Drosophila melanogaster: one gene and its partners. The protein of the gene in region 1 interacts with the protein of each later gene in a pairwise test. Each region holds a gene or a part of one and is shown in the gene's direction. Other genes may lie near its edges.

Evidence for each region.
Region 2: the proteins of Crk (region 1) and Doc1 interact in a two-hybrid assay, tested with the Drosophila melanogaster proteins (one large-scale study listed by BioGRID).
Region 3: the proteins of Crk (region 1) and CG9098 interact in a two-hybrid assay, tested with the Drosophila melanogaster proteins (one large-scale study listed by BioGRID).
Region 4: the proteins of Crk (region 1) and CG42659 interact in a two-hybrid assay, tested with the Drosophila melanogaster proteins (one large-scale study listed by BioGRID).

The regions. Positions count from the first base shown.
Region 1 is NC_004353.4:208,488-214,218, forward strand, and holds Crk (Crk oncogene), read left to right. Parts: upstream 1-1,736; 5' UTR 1,737-1,875; exon of another isoform or gene 1,876-1,950; 5' UTR 1,951-1,967; coding exon 1,968-1,999; intron 2,000-2,070; coding exon 2,071-2,193; intron 2,194-3,102; coding exon 3,103-3,307; intron 3,308-3,366; coding exon 3,367-3,495; intron 3,496-3,627; coding exon of another isoform or gene 3,628-3,693; exon of another isoform or gene 3,694-3,787; intron 3,788-4,140; coding exon 4,141-4,242; intron 4,243-4,303; coding exon 4,304-4,528; 3' UTR 4,529-4,678; downstream 4,679-5,731. UniProt on the Drosophila melanogaster protein: Adapter protein which interacts with C-terminal portion of mbc, homolog of human DOCK180. May play a role in cellular processes throughout development.
Region 2 is NT_037436.4:9,039,433-9,045,921, forward strand, and holds Doc1 (Dorsocross1), read left to right. Parts: upstream 1-1,942; 5' UTR 1,943-2,107; coding exon 2,108-2,198; intron 2,199-2,396; exon of another isoform or gene 2,397-2,465; intron 2,466-2,600; coding exon 2,601-2,766; intron 2,767-3,955; coding exon 3,956-4,223; intron 4,224-4,291; coding exon 4,292-4,429; intron 4,430-4,912; coding exon 4,913-5,425; 3' UTR 5,426-5,610; downstream 5,611-6,489.
Region 3 is NT_033779.5:6,006,329-6,014,343, reverse strand, and holds CG9098 (uncharacterized protein), read left to right. Parts: upstream 1-2,005; 5' UTR 2,006-2,107; coding exon 2,108-2,165; intron 2,166-2,232; coding exon 2,233-2,358; intron 2,359-2,408; coding exon 2,409-2,561; intron 2,562-2,617; coding exon 2,618-2,789; intron 2,790-3,110; exon of another isoform or gene 3,111-3,379; intron 3,380-3,673; coding exon 3,674-4,031; intron 4,032-4,103; coding exon 4,104-5,099; intron 5,100-5,154; coding exon 5,155-5,589; intron 5,590-5,841; coding exon 5,842-6,248; intron 6,249-6,306; coding exon 6,307-6,436; 3' UTR 6,437-6,980; downstream 6,981-8,015. Other genes in the region: H2.0 (homeodomain protein 2.0), read left to right, coding at 248-744, 847-1,089; Gal (beta galactosidase), read left to right, coding at 7,655-7,777.
Region 4 is NT_033779.5:18,005,309-18,008,848, forward strand, and holds CG42659 (uncharacterized protein), read left to right. Parts: upstream 1-2,051; 5' UTR 2,052-2,185; intron 2,186-2,239; 5' UTR 2,240-2,259; coding exon 2,260-2,409; 3' UTR 2,410-2,534; downstream 2,535-3,540. Other genes in the region: CG5693 (uncharacterized protein), read left to right, coding at 1,475-1,693; CG42634 (uncharacterized protein), read left to right, coding at 2,686-3,030; CG42635 (uncharacterized protein), read left to right, coding at 3,120-3,518.

The DNA.
Region 1 (5,731 bases):
GATCAGAATTGATTTCGGCCCGAAAATCGTCTTCTAGCACAACACGCACACTTATACGCGTTCTCGTCTCTTGTTTTTACTCACACAAGCAAGCAAATTATATTTTTAGATTTCTTACGCTCTCAGCGGGAGTGAGCCGAAAGAGAGTAATTTTGGCCGTCACCAAAAAAGTGGCTGCATAGTGCCAAACCAATGTATGGCCGTTACGCATCTTGTTATTCTAGTGTCTTTGGTTTGGCACTATGCAGCCACTTTTTTGGTGACGGCCAAAATTGCTCTCTGTCCGCTAGCTTACGCTGAGAGCGTAAGAAATCTTAAAATAGAACTTGCTTGCTTGAGTAAGTAAAAACAAGAGACGAGAACGCGTATATGTGTGCGTGTTGTTCTAGAAGACGATTTCGGGCCGAAATCAATTCTGACCGAAGAAACGAGTTTACATATTTGATGAAATTGCGCGCTGTTAAAAATATCAAATTGAAATATAACAAAAAAAAAAAAAAAAAAAAAAACTGGAACTGAAAAACAACTAAATCTAATGTGCATTTTAAATAACAAAAATTTTACATACATCATATTAAGTCAAATGACTTGAGAAATATACTAAATATATACGGAAATTATTATAACAACTTTAATTTAAAACATACATTTTCCAAAAAGAAGACATTACATTGAGAAATAAATATTTCATAAAAATAATACGAAGTAGAAAACAAAAATATATAAAAATAAAAAAAATATGTAAACTGTTTATTGCAAAAGTCATATCATAGACACTAGAATTATTCTAGTGTCTTTGCTTTGGTCATATCTTGAGCATGCAAAGGAATGGCTATTACAATATAATTTGATTAGTATGCTACGCAAACCTCTAGCATTTTGATAGGAAAAAGATTCGGACAAAGATTCGTTGTCAGTTTTTTGAAGAAGATGAAGAGGCGGATGGTGCAGTGGTCTGGCCATGTGAGGAAAGTTTATTTCCCACGGGCCCCTTTTTCCTATTTTTGATCCTAGCTTCAAAATCTTATATATCTTATGTCCATAGCGTAAGATAAGTTAAATTTTTCCACTTTTATATTACTTTTATATTATCGACTTTTGTTTTGTCTTGCATATAAGACCATACATCAGATGATTTTTGATCAGGTGAAAACCGAGAAACGAAAGTTTGTTTCTTAAGTGGAATCACCGCGAGTGGTTTTGGCCCTGCAGATTGTATTTCTGAAGTGCCAACTTGTGCCGGGAGTCCGGACTCAATGTTCCCTTGTGGTGGTAAACTAATCGGGACAGGTAGAATCACTGGTTAAGAAACCAGTGCAGACAATTCGGAATCTTTAGCAATCCCAGGGTGGGCTCCCTCCACAGCGGATTGATCGGATTGCTCCAAATCTTATTTAGCTGCCGATCTTAGCAACATATGCGGATTTTCTACGATTGACAGCTGATCAGTTGTGGAGTCAAAATAACATGTCAACCAGATATATTCGTATTCCTAATATTCCTGTAAATATCCTTGAATTGAACAGAAGAACAAATATATCGGTTTTACTTAAAAATTAGAATATCAAATTGATATGCATTGATCACGGTTTTACATTTAGATTTTAAAAGCTGACAGTACGTCCTAAAGGGGTTTACCACCACAGAGCAGTTGCTCGAAGGAGTTCTTTTCAATCGAATGTGCCCTGTGCAAGTGCCGCATTACGGTTCTACGGTACAATATTGGCATAAAACTTCCAAGTGGAAATAATCGATCAAACATTATCGATAGTGTTTCTATGTGTGGCCCAGCCAGATACACATATAAAAGGCAAATGTTTTAAGGCCAGAAATTCGAAAATGAAATCACTGAAGAATTCTGGTATATAATAGGCTGTATGCTATATTTGCATTATATCACATAATTTCTATTTATTTAATCTGGACGGAATTTGTTGTAATTTGTCTAAGATAAACCTTAAACGGAAATGGATACATTTGACGTTTCTGATAGGAACAGGTAATTTAAGATCAAGTGAAGATTAAACCAAAAACTATCAATTGTTTTAACATCAAAATGTGTTCTTAAAGCTGGTACTTTGGTCCCATGTCTAGACAGGATGCTACTGAAGTTTTGATGAACGAACGCGAGCGGGGAGTGTTTTTAGTCCGTGATAGTAACTCGATAGCAGGGGATTATGTACTTTGTGTAAGGTAAGTAAACAAAATTAATACATTCAGACTTTGATTGTGTACTTATCGTTTCATTTCTGTTAGCTAATTTTTATTTTAAAAATTAAACTAAAAATTGTGTATAGTGAGAAATACTTAATGTCAGCCTTTCTTAATCGCAGCTTACCATAAAGGTTTATATAGAAATTCCTGTTTCCATTTTAAGCATGTATACGTGTTTTATAGATGTACTTTAAACATTTATCTGTAATTTTTAAATATAAACAAATTTCTTACATTAAAAAAGGATATTCTTTTTAATAGACCTGGGTGAAAAAAGTAATAAGAAAGAGAAATCTAAAAATTTTTATCAATTTTGTGTGTTTCAGTTTTGGGAAACCTTAAAAATTGTGTTTGTTTTATTATTTCTTTCCCAGAAAATTTTTGAAATTTCTCTTTCCCATTCAACTAGCTGAGTAACGGGTTCTCTCTTGTTTTGTTTGATATTTAGATCCAATGGCAAGGGTCTATGGTCAATTTTGTATTTCTTTAATTTAGTATGGAATGTACCTTTAAGGACGATGATAAAATGTCAATGATGATCTCTCATAGCCATTGCAATTTAGTATGTTTTTAATATGTGCGCCATGTATTGACGGGGTAAATAAATTGAAGAATTTAACGACGTAAACAAAAATAATTACGAATTAAAGGAACTCAATTTCTACTGTATGTCTCGCCACGCGGCATTTATTAAAGAATTAGATGAATAAACGTCTCAAGAATATTCTTTTTGATTTTAAAAGTTCTTTATTAATATAAATGTATATACATTAGAATATTAAAAATAGGTTTTCATATTTAAACTTGAAACAAATTTTTGTTTAGTTTTTAAGGATTTTGCGCCTGTTATAAAAGAATTGTTTACTTATAAAGATTTTTATTATTTAGAGAAGATACAAAAGTTAGCAACTACATCATTAACAAAGTTCAACAACAGGATCAAATCGTTTACCGCATTGGGGATCAGTCTTTTGACAATCTACCGAAACTCTTAACTTTTTACACTCTTCATTATTTGGATACAACCCCTTTAAAACGGCCTGCGTGTAGAAGGGTGGAAAAAGTAATAGGAAAGTTCGATTTCGTTGGCAGCGTGAGCATTTACACAATTATTCATTTTTGTAAGTAATTTAATTTTCTTATTTATCAAAGGATCAAGATGATTTACCTTTTCAAAGAGGTGAAGTTTTAACAATAGTTCGAAAAGACGAGGATCAATGGTGGACTGCGCGTAACTCCTCGGGGAAAATTGGTCAAATACCGGTTCCCTATATACAACAGGTGCGTTAAGCAAATATTTGGATTTGTTATCCTTTTTTGTAACGGGTAACCCGTTTTTAATTTCTTTGTTTCCTTATAACGCTGATGTTAAAATACTACACTTGAAATGAATGGTGAATTCGGTAAAACCAGTCGCGTCAATTTTTATGGAATGCAAATAAAACTTTCGATACGGCGACACTAACGCTAGGATATTAATAATGTAAAATCAGAAAGAAACCCGAAAACTAGTGAGACGTATAAGGGTCAATAATGTCAAAGAGTCGCCAGAAGTAAATATGTAAAAATATATGTATGTATGTAAAAAATGTAAATTGAGCTCTTTTCCCCACGCCTATTTTATGACTAGCGGGTATCTGATAGCCGAGAAACTTGTTCAGAAATAATTATTGAGTTCATGTAATAATACCCTTAAATTGTTGCGATTAGATTCTTTAAAGTCTGACTACAATCTCAATACATTATAAAATCCATTACAAAAACCATTTGCATTGAATTAAACTGACAATGGACAAGCTCCATTGCCTTCAATATATTCGTCCGCTTAAATAGAGAAGGCCAAATTGCGAACGACCTTTGATAAATAAGTTTGTTAAAGGCATTGATTTTTAAAAGTTAAATCATTTTCAAATTTGTTCTTTTCAGTATGACGATTATATGGATGAAGATGCTATTGATAAAAACGAACCTTCCATTTCGGGATCTAGCAATGTATTTGAAAGTACTCTTAAAAGGACAGATTTAAATGTAAGTGTTCCAAAAAAGTATTTAAAAAAAAAATAATGTTTTACATTTTAATTTATCGAAGCGAAAACTACCTGCATACGCCCGCGTAAAACAGTCAAGGGTCCCTAACGCATACGATAAGACTGCATTAAAATTGGAAATAGGTGACATTATTAAAGTCACTAAAACAAACATTAATGGGCAATGGGAGGGAGAATTAAATGGAAAAAATGGTCATTTTCCCTTCACGCACGTTGAATTTGTCGATGATTGTGATTTAAGCAAAAACTCCACAGAAATATGCTAAATAGGAAGGAATGGAAGGAATTTCTTTTGATAATTTTGATTTTTGAGCTAATTGTATGATTAATAAGTTGTGCATACCAATTGTTAACATAATCAGAAAATTAAAATCTTATTAAGTAAAATAAAAATAAACGGGTACGAAGGACATAATAAAATTTTTACCGTTTTTTCGTATGATTCTTATACAAAAAAATTATGAATTTGAAAATCGATTTGGTTTTTTTTATGAATTGTGTAACTAAACGGTAGGTGCTACAGAAAACCCTTTGGGCCTTATATTTTTTATACCCGTTACTCGTAGAGTAAAAGGGAATACTACAATAGGTTCGTTGAAAAGTATGTAACAGGTGGAAGAAAGCGCTTCTGACCATATAAAGGCTGTTCAATATACAAAGACCCCAAAAGCCGGATACATCTCCGAGTAACGCCAGAACGCCAGAAGTTTTTTTATCACCCGCAAAGAGGTCCTTATTTGGCCCTTCGACCACCTTCCAAAATTTGATATTTCCAAACGTCCATAATTCGAGGCTAACAGAACCTACCTCTAAGGCACCAACTCTACAAGCTGCCCAAACTAATTTGACGTCGAATCCTTAATCACCGACGCATCACCAACGCAGTATTAAAACTATGACATATACTTTGCAGCATCATATGATTTCATTCATGTCGTTCGTGTGGATTATCACGCAAGACCTATCTTCCTGGAACGTTAAAATAATGTGTATCTTTAGATCAATAGTTAGTTAGTGCTTCTCCTGATACCACGTTCCGAGAGCACCTAGAGTACGCCCACAAAAAGGCCAGCGCTACTACTGGTTCTCTGCCGAGAATGCTTCTAAACACGAGAGGTCCTAAGCAAACCACTAGCTACCACGTTGATAACGGGCGACAAAGCATTTTTGGGCGGCTGAAGGGCGTTAGAGTGGCCGTGGCAAAAAGTTTTTTGGGAAATCGATAGAAAATTACAAGACTAATCAAAATATTTAAAGAATATCAACACACTTTTTCAAAAGTGCGGGCGTGGCAGTTTTGCGCGGTTTGTAGGCGTTAGAGTGGGCGTGGCAACATGGGTCAACGCTGCGCTGCGTCTTTTCTAGATTCTGTATGCTGAATCTCATCCTTCTAGCTTTTATAGTTCCTGTAATCGTGACGTTCATACGGACAGACGGACATGACCAGATCGTCTCGGCTATTGATCCTG
Region 2 (6,489 bases), on another chromosome or scaffold:
CGATTAGGTTTACTGTCGATCTAGTTTACCATGCACCCGCATGACGCAATTACACCTGATTTATCCGAAGGTCCACCTAGTGTATCTGAACAGAGATCTGCTTGCATCCCACTGTCTTTTGTGTGACATTTCTTTGTCGGTATTTTTGCAGGCGTGAAGCGTTACATTTTCAAATCAAATCTTTTGTTCTAACTGCTGCGATATTTGTATAAAAATATTTTACGATTCTCTGGCGCCGTTCGCTGCCAGAAATCTCCAGTCATCATCATCAGCTGGCCAAGCACCGGAGATATGCCGTCTCGTCCGGATCCGGAGTTGCAGTGGAGACTGGGACATGGGAATGGGCATTACTCGGAAGAGCGTGCCAGGGCGACAGCGAAATGCTAATTTAATAGAGGCTCTTCGACATTGACTTTCTTTCTAGTCCACTGAATGCGAACTCAAGCTTGAAATTATTTGCTGGCGACGAGTCAAGGAAATAAACGCATGTCTGTCGACAGATTTGTCTGATGAATGCACTTATGAGTTGAATCAAGTTCAAGATCAATGGCATTTGAACCAAATTGTATGTAGCTTGTCCTGAAAGAAAATCGATAGATAACTAATCAAATTCTATAATTAGTTCAACTGATTAAAGTAGTAATTAAAGTAAAAGTAATAGTACTAAAAATCGCAAATAAATCTTCACAGAGTTATTGTTTCTATTTTATCCAAATACAAAAATTTGTTCAGACCACAAGAAATAAGGGAAATGATAAAGAACCATTTAAAAATTAAGTTCTATAAAAATGGTGTTTCAAATAAATTGGATTTAAGTTATTCCTTTTTCTTTAAATTACAAATCATTGCATGTTTTCAATTTGCGTTGATGAATAAGTTAAGTTAAGTAAGTAAGTAAGTCTTAATATATTTTAGAATAATATAGCTATTCGTTAACGTATTTCAGTCCAATGTGTTTTAAATGATCAATGGCTCACTAAGTATCAATTATAATACTTCCTGTGAATATAGGAATGTGCATTTCAATCTACTTCCACCCGCAGGCACTTAAGCCCTCAATTTCCAATGCTGACAAGCACTAATCAATAGGCCCTCGAGCCAGAGCCCAAAAACTATATGAATTTCGATTTTCCATTTCTCAGTTTTTTTTTTTTTTGGGCAAATCAATAGCGAGGGCATAGCATATCGAAATTCCAAAACGGGCAATTAACAAAGCCAACAAAATTTATGTTTCACCTGTCTGCAGCAAAGTACATAAATACCCGAGAAATGCCAGACAATGTCGAAGATAGGGAACCCAGCTAATTACACGGGGGCATGGCAAACGACGGAGGGACAGCGCCCAAACGGAAGACGGCTGCAATGGAAATGGCAACGGACATTTTCCGACAGCGCCAAAACCAACAAAAAAACATAAAAACGAAACAGACACACAAGAAAAAAAAAGAATAAACCGAGAGGAGAAGAAAAGGCAACGGCAGCTGAAGACAGCAGACAGGCGCGCTGTGGAAAATCTCACTTCTGAATTACAAGCAACGCCATAGCCCGGCTAAATCCACATCCATATACATACATGCATACATATATCCAAGTCTCCTAACTGACAGTGATCGAGAGGGAGACAGGGAATGCGGCTTGAAGGCAGTGGCGCAGAAAAACACTGCGGCTGATGAAAATCAACAGGGCTAAGCGTTAACTTCGCCACTCGGCTGCACGCAGTTCGCTTTTCCCGCTCCTCCGCTGCTCACAAAATGGCGCCCACCGTCGATCCACCGATCTTCGCCAGAGTGGGACAACACTAGTACCCACATAGCGTAGGCGTCTTCCGCCAGCCAATCACAGGCGCTGCCCACGGAGAACCGGTTTTCCAAGCGTAGCTGCTACCTGCTTGGCATCGGGAAAAACTGGCTGCGACCCACGGCGAGTTAGCACTCGAGCGGAGCTACTCGAGATCAGTTCGTTGCGAAACGTCGAGCGTGAAAGAACCTCAGAGCGCATCTTCAGTTACGAGCGAGTGAATAACAGTGAAGAATTCCAAACTACCAGTTATTATCAGAACGTACTAAGACATTTTACCAAGTGCTATACACCGTGCAAGTGCTTCGAAATGCTTTCCATGCAAGAGCTAATGGATATGCGGATGCAGCAGCAGCTGGCCCACGAGATCTACCGCCAGCAGATCATGCAGCGGATTCCAGGTGCGTTTCTAGACATAAGGTCTATGGGTGTTGATCGAATGCCGTCGGCAAATGGTTTCGCGATTTTCAAACTAAAAAATATGAGAAAATATATGCAACCCAAAAGAGCGTACTTAAAAGTGTTTTAATATTGTGATTATTATTAGTGCTTCGGATTTTATGAGCAATAAATATTCTACTTCAATTTAACTTATCATTATAACTAGAAATTGTGGTCATAACTGCATTGCCTTTATTTTCAATCTTTGATTGAACATATCTTAATAGGTATTATATTCCGATAAAATACAATAGATAGCGAAATTCCAGCTAACTTAGAAATATGATTTCTGCAACACCCACCTCCCTGAAGAGGTCCATTGCAAACCCATGCTAATGAACTAACCAAACCGCTTCTTCCAGATCCCTTTCCATCGATGTTACCTTTCAACATGCCCCACCAGCAGCCGCACATGATGCTGCCCAGTCGTCCCACCCTGCCCGGCGTGGAGGCCAAGTTGGAGAACAACGATTTGTGGCAACAGTTCCATAAAATCGGCACCGAGATGATCATCACAAAGAGCGGCCGGTAAGTTTCATTTTCCCGCGAACCCATTATCCTATGCAAATAGCCCGAGTTTTTCCAAAAGTCAAGTGCGTCGCACGGCCTATGTAAATATTTGCTCCTGTACCAGGGCCAACTTTCCCAATTCCTATCTCATACGAGTACGAGTATGCCTATACCCTGAACCTTTCGATTTCCCGGGCCTAATGTGGCGCCTGGCCATAACTCAAAACGCAGCAGGAGCTCTCGCTCGGAGTGACAACAAGTGCAGTGTAGTCGGCGGAGGAGAACACAAGAGCAAGACGCCGCCCTGGCGCCGGTCCGATCATAAAAATCTTTCTTCTCTCGGTTTCGGCGTTGACAATCGGGTTTGGTCGATCTACCTGCGCTTTTCACACTTTGCCCACAATACCACCATACCATACCATACCATACCATTCCATGCCCTGTCCGTGACCCTTCTCCAAAGCGATGAGACCAGACCCTAGCGTATCTCAGATAGGGGAACTATCGAACAGCGACTACCGAGCGGGAGCCGAGACAAATTTACATAATTATGATCTGAACTCGAAGTTTAAGTTGCAAATGTACACGGAAAGAAATCGTGCAACTACAAGCATTATTTTTGGCCAAGGCTTAGAATATGGCTGGGCATCATAGAAATCAAGAGATCTTGAACATAAATATATATTTGTTATATATATATATATTTCGTAATATTTTATTGAAAATGATTAATATCCAGTAGAAATATTATTTTTCTGTGCTGTTTAATCCGCGATAACAGTCACTTTCTCGGCTCATTAGACATGCATTCGACGCTTGGAAGCCGTTAGGGCGACTCCCAGATTTTGTCTAATTGCTTGGCGCCAGATTGCCCCAGCTCCTCCAGCACTCTGTTGCTCCCCGTGCTCCTCCATGAACCAACGATCCACACAATTAATCATGTGCCGTTGGCATATTGTTTTGGGCTGGCAAGATCTGTTTGCGTTACCTTTTAAATCGATGCGTTGCGCTACGCAGACTCCCCGCTGCCCTCTACTTTTCGGTCCATAATTACACACTTGTTAGCCGGGGCAACAAATCACAGGCGATATGAAGTAAAATAGAATAGATGCCCGGGCGACGCCTTCTTTTGCGATGCTCCTTCCCTGATTTATATGCAGTTCGTGGCAGGCCACTTAATCAAGTCCTATTCTTTTCATCCTTACAGACGCATGTTCCCCTCGATGCGAGTTTCCCTCAGCGGACTGGAGGAGGAGGCCAGCTATTGCGTACTCCTCGAGATGGTGCCCATTGGCGATTGCCGCTACAAGTTCTCCGGTTCCCAGTGGGTTCCGGCCGGAGGAGCCGAGCCCCAGAGTCCGCAGCGCATGTATCTGCATCCGGACAGTCCGGCGACCGGTGCCCATTGGCAATCCCAGGCATTGCTCTTCAACAAGGTCAAACTGACCAACAATACACTGGACAGCAGCGGACATGTAAGTTTGAGTGAGCTCATAGTGTATCTTTTGAATGGGTTACTTATAGTTTCCATTAACATTTCCAGATCGTTTTGGCCAGCATGCATAAGTACCAGCCACGCCTGCACATCATCCGCAGCAGCGAGCTCACCCAACTTCCATGGGCTCCTCAGCAGGCGTTCGTTTTCCCGGAGACGGAGTTCGTAGCTGTCACAGCCTATCAGGTGGGTTAAAGACAACATCCTTTCCGTCCTCCATTGAGGACATGTCTGACAGGACAAAGACTCTGCGGGGGTCGTCGCCTAATTGAGGCATTTTCAAATTTGTCGCCTAGCCAGCCACTTGAGTTTGATCCTAACGAGGATCACAGTGGAACTTTTCAAGTGCCCTCCCAGCCGACGGCTACTTACTGACGCCTCGTAGTTTAAATTTCGACCAGACAAAAACAATAGAGATCGTTTTTCATACTATTTAAATTAGATTTAAAACTACGCGTTTTTTTACATATTTATTTAATCTGCAAATCTTTTTTATAAGGCCGTAAATTTATTTATTGTTCCTTTTTACGATCTAATTGAAAATTCAAGTGTTAAAAGTAATACATTTAGAGCTAATTCGTTTTAAGAATTCATTGTTGTATAAAAACTGATAGTAATTAATCATTTATGTGCTTAAATTAATTTATAAATTTGTTCTCATGCTTGCAGAACGATCGCATCACCAAATTGAAGATCGATAACAATCCGTTCGCTAAGGGTTTCCGCGAGTCGGGTCAATCCCGCTGCAAAAGGAAGCTGAACAGCAGCGGAAACTCGACGCTGGAGTCGGAGGATGATGGCTCCAGTGTGAGCAGCTGCGATTCTCCGCAGGCGAAGCGCCAGCGCCAGGATTTTGAGCAGGACTCAACGGGTAGTGTTTCGCCAGCTTACTATGGAGCAACTCATCCAGTTGCCAATCCTATGTCGCCGTATCTCCGCCATCACTTGAGCTATGGACCCAGTGGAGCTGCCGGATTGCCGCCCAGCATTGCAGCTGCCTATTTTGGTGGAGTTCCTCCGCAGATTCTGCCAATGCCACCAGCCACATATGCGCCAACTGTCGCGCCTGTTAGTCCTGTGGCCTCGCAACCCGTTGGCTCCAGCACACCCACAACATCACCAAGGCCTTCAACCTCAACGAAAAGAAATAGCTTCAGCATTTCAGCCATTTTGGCCTATTGAAAGAAATATTTGGTAAACATACTTAAGTTGGAGTCATCTTCTGTTGTGATTAGTGAGAAACGTGTGCATATACTTTGTAAGCTAATCTATGCTACATATAAGATCGTTTAAGAACCAAGCTGCAATCATATACATTGTTAATTCGTTTTAAGAGTCTTTGGTCAAAATAAACAAATCAGACATCGAATCCGTAGAAAATGCAAAACTATTTGCGGGGGGGGGGGGAGCAACGGTAACCTTCAGCGTTTCCGTTTTTACAGGTTTTTGGCCATATCGCAGTGCCTGGGCCAAAAGCAGTTATGCGACCGCTTTGGCGGGCCTAAGACAAATTAATGCTCTCCATTATGGTGACCAGTCGGTTCTCGAGTCACACGTATCTGAAAAACATCCAACTCCGGTAGTAGTTAAAGCAATTCTCCAAAGATAAGGCGTCCATTATGAGCAGCGATTTGACGGCTTTCAGGCTGTTTGGTCTTTGCCGACTCCCAGCTCCCCTGCGATTCCATCCGCATCCCTGGGACACAGAGATGACGCAGAGGTGGGTGCACGGAGAAAAAAAAGTATCACACATTTCAATTCAACTAAGTAAGTTTTGGCTTATGGTATTGCTAATAGAAATGGTTTTTAAAGTAAATTTAAAGAAAGAAAAATTCAACATTCATCTGATCATTTCAAAATCGAAGCACTTTTCTTGCAGTGCACTTGCTGCTGTTGCCGTCTTGTGAAATTTTCGTTTTATCGCACCTTTTATGGCCATTGGCCAGGCCAAAACGAAGTGGGAGCTGGCCAAGAAACCGAAACAGAAACCGATGCCGAGTCGGTTGGAGAGACTTTGGTGTGGTCACTCCTTGTGTGCATTATCGTGTCAAATGCGACAAATCTGTCTGTGGCCCGGCGGCTGCCTTTCAGCTTGCATAATTGAGCTGATAACTCGGCGCTCCGTGGATGTGTGCGGTCCACTTTTGAGCGTTTCCTAAACGGTGGCGCCAAACATTTCGTGTTTAATATTTTTAATTAAGTTTTTAAGTGCATCCAGAAGGAGATGGGACCACAGAGAATTTATC
Region 3 (8,015 bases), on another chromosome or scaffold:
TCATATTTTCTTTGGCGAAACAAGTATCATTTCTTTGGCCGGCGATAAATGTATTATTTCCTGCGGATGCAATGTGCTACCAAGGGAGGATGTTGTCCATAACTAATGGTAGTTTTCCTATAAAAATAAATATCCAAATTGGTGCGTAAAAAACGCACCGGATTCAGTATAGCAACAAATTAAGAGTTATTGCTAATGAAGGAAGTATGAATCTCCCAATTGACTTTAACATTCCATTCCCGAACAGCCGCACCCACTTATCCCACGCTGGCTACCAATGCGCTCCTCCGCTTCCATCAACATCAGAAGCAGCAGCACCAGCAGCATCATCATCATCAGCACCATCCCAAACACCTCCATCAGCAGCACAAGCCCCCGCCACACAACTCGACGACAGCCTCGGCGCTACTGGCGCCGCTCCACAGCCTCACGAGCCTCCAGCTGACGCAACAGCAGCAGCGATTTCTGGGCAAGACGCCGCAGCAGCTCCTGGACATAGCGCCCACCTCGCCCGCCGCCGCCGCCGCTGCCACATCCCAGAACGGTGCACATGGACATGGAGGTGGCAATGGCCAGGGCAACGCCTCAGCCGGAAGCAATGGGAAGCGCAAGCGATCCTGGTCTCGCGCCGTCTTCTCGAATCTGCAGCGCAAGGGCCTGGAGATTCAGTTCCAGCAGCAGAAGTACATCACCAAGCCAGATCGCCGCAAGCTGGCGGCACGACTGAATCTCACCGACGCTCAGGTTAGTTAAAAGATGGGATTTTCATAGTTTAACATTTGCACATTCGACTCCTTTCATAGCTCTATAAAAACCAATATATTATTATTTTTATACCCTGATTAGGTCAAGGTGTGGTTCCAGAACCGTCGCATGAAGTGGCGGCACACGCGCGAGAATCTGAAGAGTGGCCAGGAGAAGCAGCCGAGTGCAGTACCCGAATCCGGAGGTGTCTTCAAGACATCCACGCCATCCGGTGATGGTACGCCCCAGGAGGCACTCGACTACAGTTCCGATAGCTGCTCCAGTGTGGATTTGAGCGAGCAGGCCGACGAAGATGATAATATTGAAATCAATGTGGTGGAGTAGAGCCGCCTATGTAGATAGCTCCGTTTACACGTGTAAAATGCCATGTAGATGTATTTATTCCTTCATTGCTAGTTGTAATGTAATGTAAAGTAGACAGATACTGCACAAAGTGAACTTAAATTATTTCAATCTGTAAGATAATCTAAACGTTTATGTGTAAACTATTTAAAATAAATTCTCTAGTAAAATGAACTTGTGAATTCACAGCTTGGTTTATTATTAATTTATTATTCACTATTCCATAGAATGAAGCTATAAAAATACGCAATGCTACGCGGCAAGAACAGAAATTTTAATTAAGCAAATACCGCTGCGATCAGCAGAATATGAAACTCGGCGACAACGGGGAGACCTTCTCTAATCAAGTGAACGATAAAAGACGATACGCGACTGAATGGCCAGAGCAAATACGACTGGAGTGAGTTGGTCAAGCGCGGGGGTGCGAATGGGTTTATCCAATACGATCGGATCGGTTGGTGGATCGCGACAGGGGAGTGAGAGGAGGGGGCACTGCGGATATAGAGCACTAATTAGAAAAACAGTGAGGGTAAATTGTTGGTGCACGACATTGAAATCTTACTCACTTGGGCTTTATTGTCATTGTCGGTCTCTTTGGCTGAGTTCGTTCATTTTTTCAATTACTTTAAGACTCCGCTGAAATTATAGAAAACTATAAAAAAATAACAACGATTTATAGCTGAATTTAAAGAACATTACTAAATAGAGAATAGAATAGAAACAATAAATATATATTACTCATACTTTAGCTGCAATCTTACGTTCATATATGATTTATAATTATATGCGTAATTCCTTTAGGGTATTTAACAGTCGGTGAATGACATATGCAATTTCAGCTCAGTTGAAGAAGTCTGTTTGGGCAACATTTGCTCACGTTCAGTTGTTTTTCCCAAAGCGAAGTGCGCGGTTGAGTTTCAGCTTAGGTGTTTGGTACTGCTCCAGAATTTAAAGATCTTTCAGATCTGCACATTGGATTTGCAAAGATAGCCTGGGCAACATGGGCAACACCCAAGCCCGACAACTGGAGAACCGCCAAGTGCCGAATCGGAGGAGCAGTGAGTGGCGAAAATACGGTTTCCGATTCTGATCATAATGATCACACATTTCGTAACCGCTTCGTAGGCATTTTGTGGAACTTTCGGTACTCGAACACAGTGCGTCGTCGCGAAGATTTGGCCGTAATGGTGCACAACTCTAGGATGAGCATAAGCGAGTGGCTGGACCTTCTGGAGCTGCAGCAGTACGAAGGTTTGCATGATCAGCAGTTCCCAATTGAGACTGTATGTTATGTTAACCAGGAAACCTACAGGAGTTCAGCACCGTGGACGATGTGGTGGACATCACGGACAAGGAGCTGAAGCAATTTGGCGTGCGCGGTGCCCATCGCCAGCGGATGGTCAACAGTTTGCTGGGTGTTCGTGCCAAGCGAAGGCAGTCCATGAATCTGGAAGGTAAGCCAGTGAAACGTAGTTCCCCCCACTGAGTTATCTACTCGTATCTTGTCTAGCAATGAGCAGTGCGCCGCGAGCAGTGCCACGGCGCAAGAACTCCTGTCCATTGGTGTATCTGGGTGAGAATCCTCAAGATATGGCGGGAAGCGGCGATAGCGGACCCGGCGTGATTACCACCAAGAGTGGCAAGGTCCTGAAGCAACTAACCTTTGATGAGACTTCCACCATGTAAGTGTGCATTTCAGAATTCAACCCTTCAAAATCTTCTTAAATTTTCCATGCTATTATATTATGCTAATAATAGTTGCAAAAGTATACCACATCCGGCATGTTGGAGTTTTAAAACTAAAATATTCAACATCCTCCACAACATCCACAAGATTTCTTTTTACCCTCAATGGACAATCATAACATAGACTCTGCGCATGCTCCGCGAATTTCCCAAAAAAGTGACTTCGGGCGTCCTTAGAGTTTTCCAACAAAACCCAAAACAAACTGCGCGGAGTAGCGTGGTGCACAGAAATCGGTGTCCAACCCCCAAAAGTGCACCGCACTCGAGTCCTTTGCCGTGAACTTTTCAGAGTAGATTCGAGCGGCAGGGAGTTCAGACTACTACAATACGAAGGACCTTAAACTGCACTCCTTTTTTTTTCGAGACTAGTTCTGTGCTAGTGAAGTCTATCTATTTTCAAATGGAGAGTTTTGTTTAGAAATCGTATTATTCAGGCAGCTGGTGAATCGAGTTCTTTCGTACTACTGAACAATTGGGTTTGGGTGTGTCCTGTCCTAAATTTTCTACTACAAAATGGGCGTAGCAGGTGAGTGATAACAGAGGCAAGTCGATTTCCTAAAAAAACTAAATCCTTTTAGTTGGTATATAAGTTTTTTGAAGTTCCATTCAGTTCATTATGGCAAAACATTAGGTCTGCAATTTGATTTCTTCTTTTTTTGCACTTGAACTTCACACATATAGTGAGTTGTCCATATACCAAGGACCAAATCCTGTGGGAGCAAATTTCCCCAAAGCCGCCTGTGGGAGGAATGGCCTATGATACTATAAAATTACCCAAAATAAGGGAAATTTACTCACTCATTCGTCTTTCCATTGACAGCTACGAGGAACTGAGGCCGCGCTCCAAGTGCAACAGTCCCCATTGGGCCATCGAAGACAGCAGGATGGAGGGCTATGGGAGCAGCAATGCCACCACTCCGCTGGCCACCGCCCAGCCCAGTCCCAGCGAGCAACAGGAGGCCATCGCCCTGAAGAAGGCGCTCGAGTGGGAGCTGAGTTTGGACGCCAGGGAGCTGCGTTCCCACGCCTGGTACCACGGCGCACTGCCACGCCAGCGGGCCGAGGAGATCGTGCAGCGCGAAGGCGACTTCCTGGTCCGCGACTGCGCCTCCCAGCCGGACAACTATGTGCTCAGTTGCCGGAGCAAAGCGGCTGTACTGCACTTCGTACTTAATAAGGTGGGTTCGCACTGTTCTTGGCATTGGAGTACCAGTTTACCAAGTAGTATCTGATGTGGTTATGCATTGCAGTTGGTGCTTCAACCGGAGACGGTTTACGAACGTGTGCAGTACCAGTTTGAGGAGGATGCCTTCGATACGGTGCCCGACCTAATTACCTTCTACGTGGGATCCGGCAAGCCCATCTCGTCAGCATCGGGAGCGCTCATTCAGTTTCCCTGCAATCGCACCTATCCGCTCTCCTTCTACGGCCACAAGATCGTGGGCAACCAACTGCACACGCAGATGCTGGCCGGTCTGCGAGGTCTGAGTCCTCTGAACTCGCCGATGGGCAGCAATGGTGCAGTGGGAGCAGGTATGAACGCTACCTTTCGCTTCGAACCGCAGCAGCAGCAGCAGCAACAGCTCTCGCCGATGGCTGGCTCACCGGCCAGTCCGCACTGCTCGCCGCCGCGGGCGCGTAGAGAGGTGCCTCCACCGCCGCGGCTGCCGTGCAAGAAGCAACAGCGCTCCCAGAGCCTCACACCGGCCCAGGCCATGTTGGTCAGCAACATCAACAAGCTTCAGGAGCAACAACTACAGATGCAGGAGCTCGAGAATGGCAATGGCAACGGAATAATGCGCTTCCAGACAATCGCCAGGTGCAATCCGACCAGTGAGCAGCACCTGGAGAGCAAGTTCACAACCCACTCGCTGCCCAGACCCAACACTTCGGCGGCGCACGCTCTGCGCCAGCAAGCGGTGGCCCGAATCTCGAGCCTGGCGAGAAACTGCAGCCTGGACTCGCCGTCGGACTCACGGCCGCCCAGTCCGCCGCCCAAGCCACGCAAGGAACCCATGGCAGCGGTGCTGGCATACCAGGCCAGTGGATCCGACTCGGGGAACGGGTCCGGTGATTCGGCTCTAGGGGATGCATGTGAGGCGAGCGTACAGCGGGGTGTGATAATCAAGAATCCCCGATTCATGACCACTTCGGTCTCGAACGGAACGCTGAAGAGCTTCACGGAGTTCGACGTCCTGGCCGCTGAGGAAGAACTATTCACCATGGCCATAGAAGAAGTTAAAACAGTAAGTTAAAGGCTAGCTTTAAAAACTTAATTTTACCATTTATTTGCGTTTTTAGGCAAGCAAGTTTGACTTTGAGAACTTTGTTACTTTGCTACTGCCATCTGTGGAGAACAAGCCCCTGGATGGCGATGCCCTCAACACGTTCAAGATGATGCTTCTGGAGACGGGCCCAAAGCTGCTGGCGGAGCACATCACTCGCATCGACATTGCCCTGTTTTTGGAGGAGCCGTCGAACGAGGAGGACTACTATCTGAGCTGTTCGGGTCTTGAGCTGCTAACACTGCCCCATGGAAAGGTCTTTAGGGAGGACATAATAGAGCGGACGCAGTGCATCAAGCTGATGGTCGCTGTGACCATACTCACCTGTCAAACGGATCTGGACCGAGCCCAACTGCTCAGTAAATGGATTCAGATCGCAGTGGAAACTAAGACGGCTCTCGGCAATCTGTTTGGATTCTGCGCCATCATGTTGGGCCTGTGCATGCAACAGGTGAATACTCGTTCGGTGCAGTGTACACTAAAACAAATTACTTTTTAGTTAGTTTAACGCCGAGAGGTATAAACAAGTACATTAGGTCATCACAGTTTTTTGCTTAGCAAACGAGTGATGATTTAGATGATCTTTTTATTATCACAGTTAATCACACGTGAGCAATTAGCAGTTTGGCAACTTGTTTGCAAACCATTAAGCTACATTGTTAGAGCGATACATCATAACCGATTGTCCCACCACCTCTTTCAGATCCAAAAGCTCGACCAGGCCTGGCACATCCTGAGGCAACAGTACACGGACAGCGCCTTCACCTTCGAGGCCAAGTTGCGACCCACGTTGAGCATCATGAACGAGGCCTCCAATCCACAGGCTCCAAACACAACCGTTCCCCATGTTCTGCTGTATGCACTACTGATCGATCGACCCGTTATGGACATCATAAACCACTCCAACATTGACGATCGCCCAGCTCTGTACCACACCTGTATTGCTCCTTGGGAGTCGAAAGCGGATGACTTTGGCATGACCATTAATTTCCAGCACCTGGATGCATCGCGTGGCTTCCTGAAGAACTTGGAACTGTATCGAAAGAATGCCAAGATCATCCTGGAGGATGCTAGTCCTCGGCTCGATGAGCTTCTAGCTGATGCTTTTCGGTAATATGATAGAATACACTATTCTCGAGTCTTCCTCAAGTTTCCCATATCCTCACAGAACCGAGTTCCATGTCAAGTTCCTATGGGGCAGTTCCGGAGCAACGGCCAAGGCCGAAGATCGGCACAACAAACTGGAAAAGGTGCTCACCCTGATGGCCGACAAGTTTTGCATGATGGCCGAGCAGTAAGCTGTGAAATAATATGGACTTAAGTTTCTGGCCGATATCAAATGAACTAACTTAAAGCGAACCTATGCCAGGACCTCCTATCTACTATCCACAATGTCTCCAGACCCTCCGCATCTTTAAATTTCGTGCTGTCTCTACCTCAGCCTGAGTATACATATATCATTTCAGCAGAAACACAAAAGCACTTTATGTTACAGTTCAAATACCGTTTAATCCTTAGTTAAGTTAAATTTAGTATTGTACGCGTATGCAAAACGAACTAGTTATCATATTTTTATGGAAAAACTCTTTAAGAGCCACCTCACTCTGATGTACTACCAAAGTCTTGTATTTACTTACCAATCCCATTATTTATTCTATGCAATAACTTACTCGACTATAGAAGAGACAATATACATTAATCAAAAAAAAAAAAAAAACAAAAAACATCGTAAGCAAACATACTCTCTCACAAAATGATATAGGCATAACGCAATGAATGCATAATTTTTGCAATTTTGTATATGTAAAGATAATGATAACAATAAAGAAACTACTTAAACCCAAATGAATGTTATCTCTTTAGAGGTTTCCGACCTCTGGTTTACAATGCTTGCAGACTTTACTTCGCATTAAATTCATATTTTCAACACAAAGGTTATGATTATTATTATTATTATTAAGTATTAAAATCAAGTAAAAGACCCCTACGGGTATTTTTAAGATTCTTATATTTTTAACTTTCGTAATGACTTTCAAAAATTGGACATCACTTAGGGGGACCGTAAATAGCTTATAGAAAAAGCAATGTCAACCAAATCTTAGCCTAATTAGCCCAATCAGCAAACACGTCGATTAACATTACGGCACTCTGGAGTACTTATAAGCTGGAAAAGCACTTGTGCGGATGGAAAATATCTCAACGAGGAATTCAAAACGAATACCGATTAGCCGGCGAAATGTACAGCACTATCAGCCACTCCAGCGGCGACCAACAGGCCTTATCGGGCCACCAGGAAAGGCGCGTCCAAAGTTCCCAAGGCTGGCCATCCAAACCATAACTCAAACTCACTGTCCACTGCCCACCAGCCATTACCCTGACATTGTGCTCCCGTCGGCACTGGCGATCGGTTGTGTATTCTGGTCCACCCATCCGAGTGGAGCGAGCTTTCAAGCAAGCTTATATCGCTAGCGATACATTTGTGGTGTTTCTCCAAGCTCCCAAGTCGGCTCTTCAATATGAGCGGTTGTCGTCGCAATCGAAAGCTGACGATGGCCGTAAGTGGATGTCTGATAATTGCTGTGATGGCCCTCACCGTTGGGCTTTGTGTGGGACTGAGCGGTGACACCGACGCCCCCGAGGTGAGAATAATAATTTACACGAACATACAACCTGGGCAATTGGGTCAGGTCAACTTACATTTACAGGATTACTTTATAGCATAGCTGCCATAAAAATTAATATTTGTTAGATATACAAAAAGTACCTTAGCTGTATTTACAAGGCTTTTGGGCTTATAATGATATTTAAAGTAAAAGCAACTCATATATCTTTTTTTGAGCATTACAGCAATGTAGGCATTGAGTTTCGATTTATATT
Region 4 (3,540 bases), on another chromosome or scaffold:
GCAGTTCGCGTGACTGCACTTAGTTCAGTGGCACTAGAGTCCGTTTGCTCGGAGTGACCGGTCCCAAAACCACCAAGTGAACCGTCCCCCTAGCACTCCGCCCCAACACCCACTTACCGCCCATTTCCCCACCCACCTACACACGCAGTCGACGCACCGCGTTACGCTTTGAATATAAATTACACAAATAGTGCACACGACTTTGATGGCTGCAGCCGGCGACATTGAAAGCCGACAACGCTGCACAGTGGGTCGAATCCGAAAAATTATTTATATTTTAATGATAATGATAAGCTTAAAGTGTTGACTAAAATTATGCTATCTACCTCAATCATAAACATCACTATTTTCGATTTATCACATCCAATTTAATTAAAATAAACCCTTTTCGGTCTTTTTGTCGGTATTTTGTGTGCTTGAACAATGCATGTGAAACTTTTATACTTTCCAAGCTGAAAGCCCACAAATTAACCCAAGTCAAAGCACTTCGGTTCAAACTCTTTGGGTCACTGCAAAGACCACAGTGCAGATGAGCTGCCAGGAGCGCTGGTCATATCACCATGGCCCTTTGATGCTAATGACTCTGCCATCGCCTTAAAACCGGGGGATAAGCATCGATGGGGGCTCACAACGCTCCGAACTTAGCGGGCAATCAAAAACCGTGCTGAGGCAAATTGGCATGCGTGATGTAGATGAATGGAGATGCAGCCAGATGCAGCTAGATGCAGTGGCCAGGGGGAAATGGCGATGGATGGAGTTTCTGGGCGGGGGCAGAGGTACATATGTGGGACAAGTGATTTCCGCATCGCTTTCTGGATCGCAGCGAGCGGCTGCGTTGATTGATTGATTAATTGACAAAGGAATTGCCGTTAGTTTTCCATTCGCATTTACATTTGCATATCTAATTTATGAACGGCCAAGTCTTGTCCGGCCGTATGTAGTTCATTGTGTTAGCTATGCAAATGCTGTACTTCCGCTGCGAGCGTCTGCCCAAAGCAGCTTAATTATTCATTAATTTCAACTTAAATTCCATATTTGTGCCTGCAGCCATTTGTGGCCCAGTTTCGATGGCCTGCAGTTGCAGTTATCTTTCCGCTGGCTTTTGTCACCATAAAACTGAAGTGTTGCCCGATTATGAAATAATTATAAGCGTTCTGCACGCACTAACCGGTGATTTTAAGGGCGATTGGACTTTGATTCGGATTTTGGGAGATAGAGTTCAATGTGGGAGCTATTCGCATCGATTCTAGTACGAAATTAACTAGCTTTGTTTAGAGATTTGCGCAACTCGGGCATCTAGTTACCCGTTCCATTGTGTTTCAATACCCATGGAAATGAGAACATTTATGAGCCTCACTCGGCCCGAAAATTGCACCCAGTTAGCATCTATGTAAATTCACAAAATCTATAAAGTGGGACCCAATTTGCCACTGCCATCTGCCTCGACCTTCGTTTTCAGTGGAGGTGCTGCAGCATGCCTTGCATATTTAATCCGGGCTACATTGGACCCGATCCGCCCTGCTGTGACCCCGATTGCTTGGAGGAGGGCCACTGCACGGTTCCGGAGTGCGGAGTTTGCCCGGAGTCCCAACTACCCCGATGCAATCCCGCCCCACAATCCAACAAGGACGCGGCGAAGCAACCACTGGACCAGAAAGCCCAAAAAGAACCGAAGCTCCGGGAACAGAAGTAGTGGGGAAAAAGGCAAAGCTGCAAAAATGAACCAGGAGTCCTTTGGAGATGTGCTGAACACACAACCTTGTTGTGTGTTGCTAATATCTTCAAACATCTTGAGCTAAACCCATTTAGCTCATCATCTCCTGGGCATCGAACCGTCATATTGTAACATTATATTTCAAAAAAATTAATAATAATAATAAATAAATAAAATGAATATCTATAAATAATAAAAACAATAATAATATATATTAACCTCAAATTACCAGCTCTTTTCTATTTTAGCACAAAATAACTGTGGATAAAAAATACAGATAAAATTAATTCATTTTCTTATGATCTATCTAAAATGAAGTCAAATAAATTTAAACCAGCATTCTTGATTTAAATGTCAACAAAATAACACATAAGCGTACATACGCATTTTCTTCATTCAAATTTCAAGCACGAAACGTGTTGTTCTGGTCAAACATTTGTTTAAATTTCTCATTTTTCTCTTCCATTTCCGGTGAGTTTCGAAAGAGAAAATGTGGGAGATGTATTTATAAAATAAGATTTGCAGACTTCTTTCGAGTGCTGAAAATGGTTTACTTAAGTCGTCCTTGGACTCCGGCCATAAACCCTTTCTACATTGGCCCCTATCCGAGATGCGCAGTATGTCCGTGCAACTTCGACATTTACAAAGGATACACCCCCGGTGGCTGGCACAGTCGTTGCTATAGCAGCTATTGACGAGACGAGTACCTGTATAAAATGCAAGAATAACGGCGGGAACAAATATAGTTGAACTTTGAAACTGCACACCAATTAGCCTCGCACACATCTATGTAGAGAAATAATAAAATTGATTCATCGTCACCAAACTGTTGAATATTGCTGGGGAAATAATATAAATATTCCAATCGAAATGGCTTAGATTTCAAATTAGAACTCCTGGGAATTTTAGTTTATCAGGTCGCAAATTGTGTGAAAATAGTTTTCTAAATTCAAAATTCAAGTCTCTTGGTCATGTCCTCGTCTGTGGATCACGTGGTACACCACGTACTGGCCCCAATGGCAATCAACGTCCTCGATCGCGTGGTGCCAGTAATCCGCCAATTGGTGATCATCATGCATCAGGCATTTCTGGTTGATCACCATGTGTCGGAGCCCGTGATCGATGTATCCGGCATGATTCAGCCCGTTCGTAAAATAGTCTTGATTGTAAACGATTCAACGCCGGAGCACCATGTCGACCAGGAGCAGGTGGTCAGTTCGGATGACATTAACTACCTGATAAATGAAATTTCGCGAAGTATCCGAAACTTGGCCCGTTCGACCTATAATACCATCTCGGCGATGGCTGGAGAGTAGCCCTAGAATTATTTGTCATCGTGGTCGATCGAAAAATCCGACATCGACCCTCCTGATCCTCCAGAAGATCCTGCTCCTTTGCCCAAGATATGGAAATGGTTCACACGGCCATCGGAGTTGCGGGCATAGTGGCCCTGTTTATGGTAGTTTCCCGTTCGTTAACTGAAGTGGGTGGCAGGGTGTTAAACCAAACCCGTGATCCGATCGCTGACCTTGTGAGGCGCGGTGGTCCAGTGGCGGATCAGCTGTCCGCCGTCGAGGGCGAAACTCCTCTAGTAGAGGGCGATCGCATGGATGGCGCCTGCTCCGTGGTACAAAGTATTGGAGGCAAGGCATGTGCCTTTGTAGGACCATTGCTTCCTAAGTTTGGCAGTGAACATAATTCCGAGGGCTCCTCCAAGGAAGACGAAAAGGATAAAAAGGACTCGGAACCGGTAGTAGTAAAACCTGAAACACCGCCAGCGGCAGAATTAACCGAAGAGGAGTAGGATCTAGTCAGCAACTATGTCG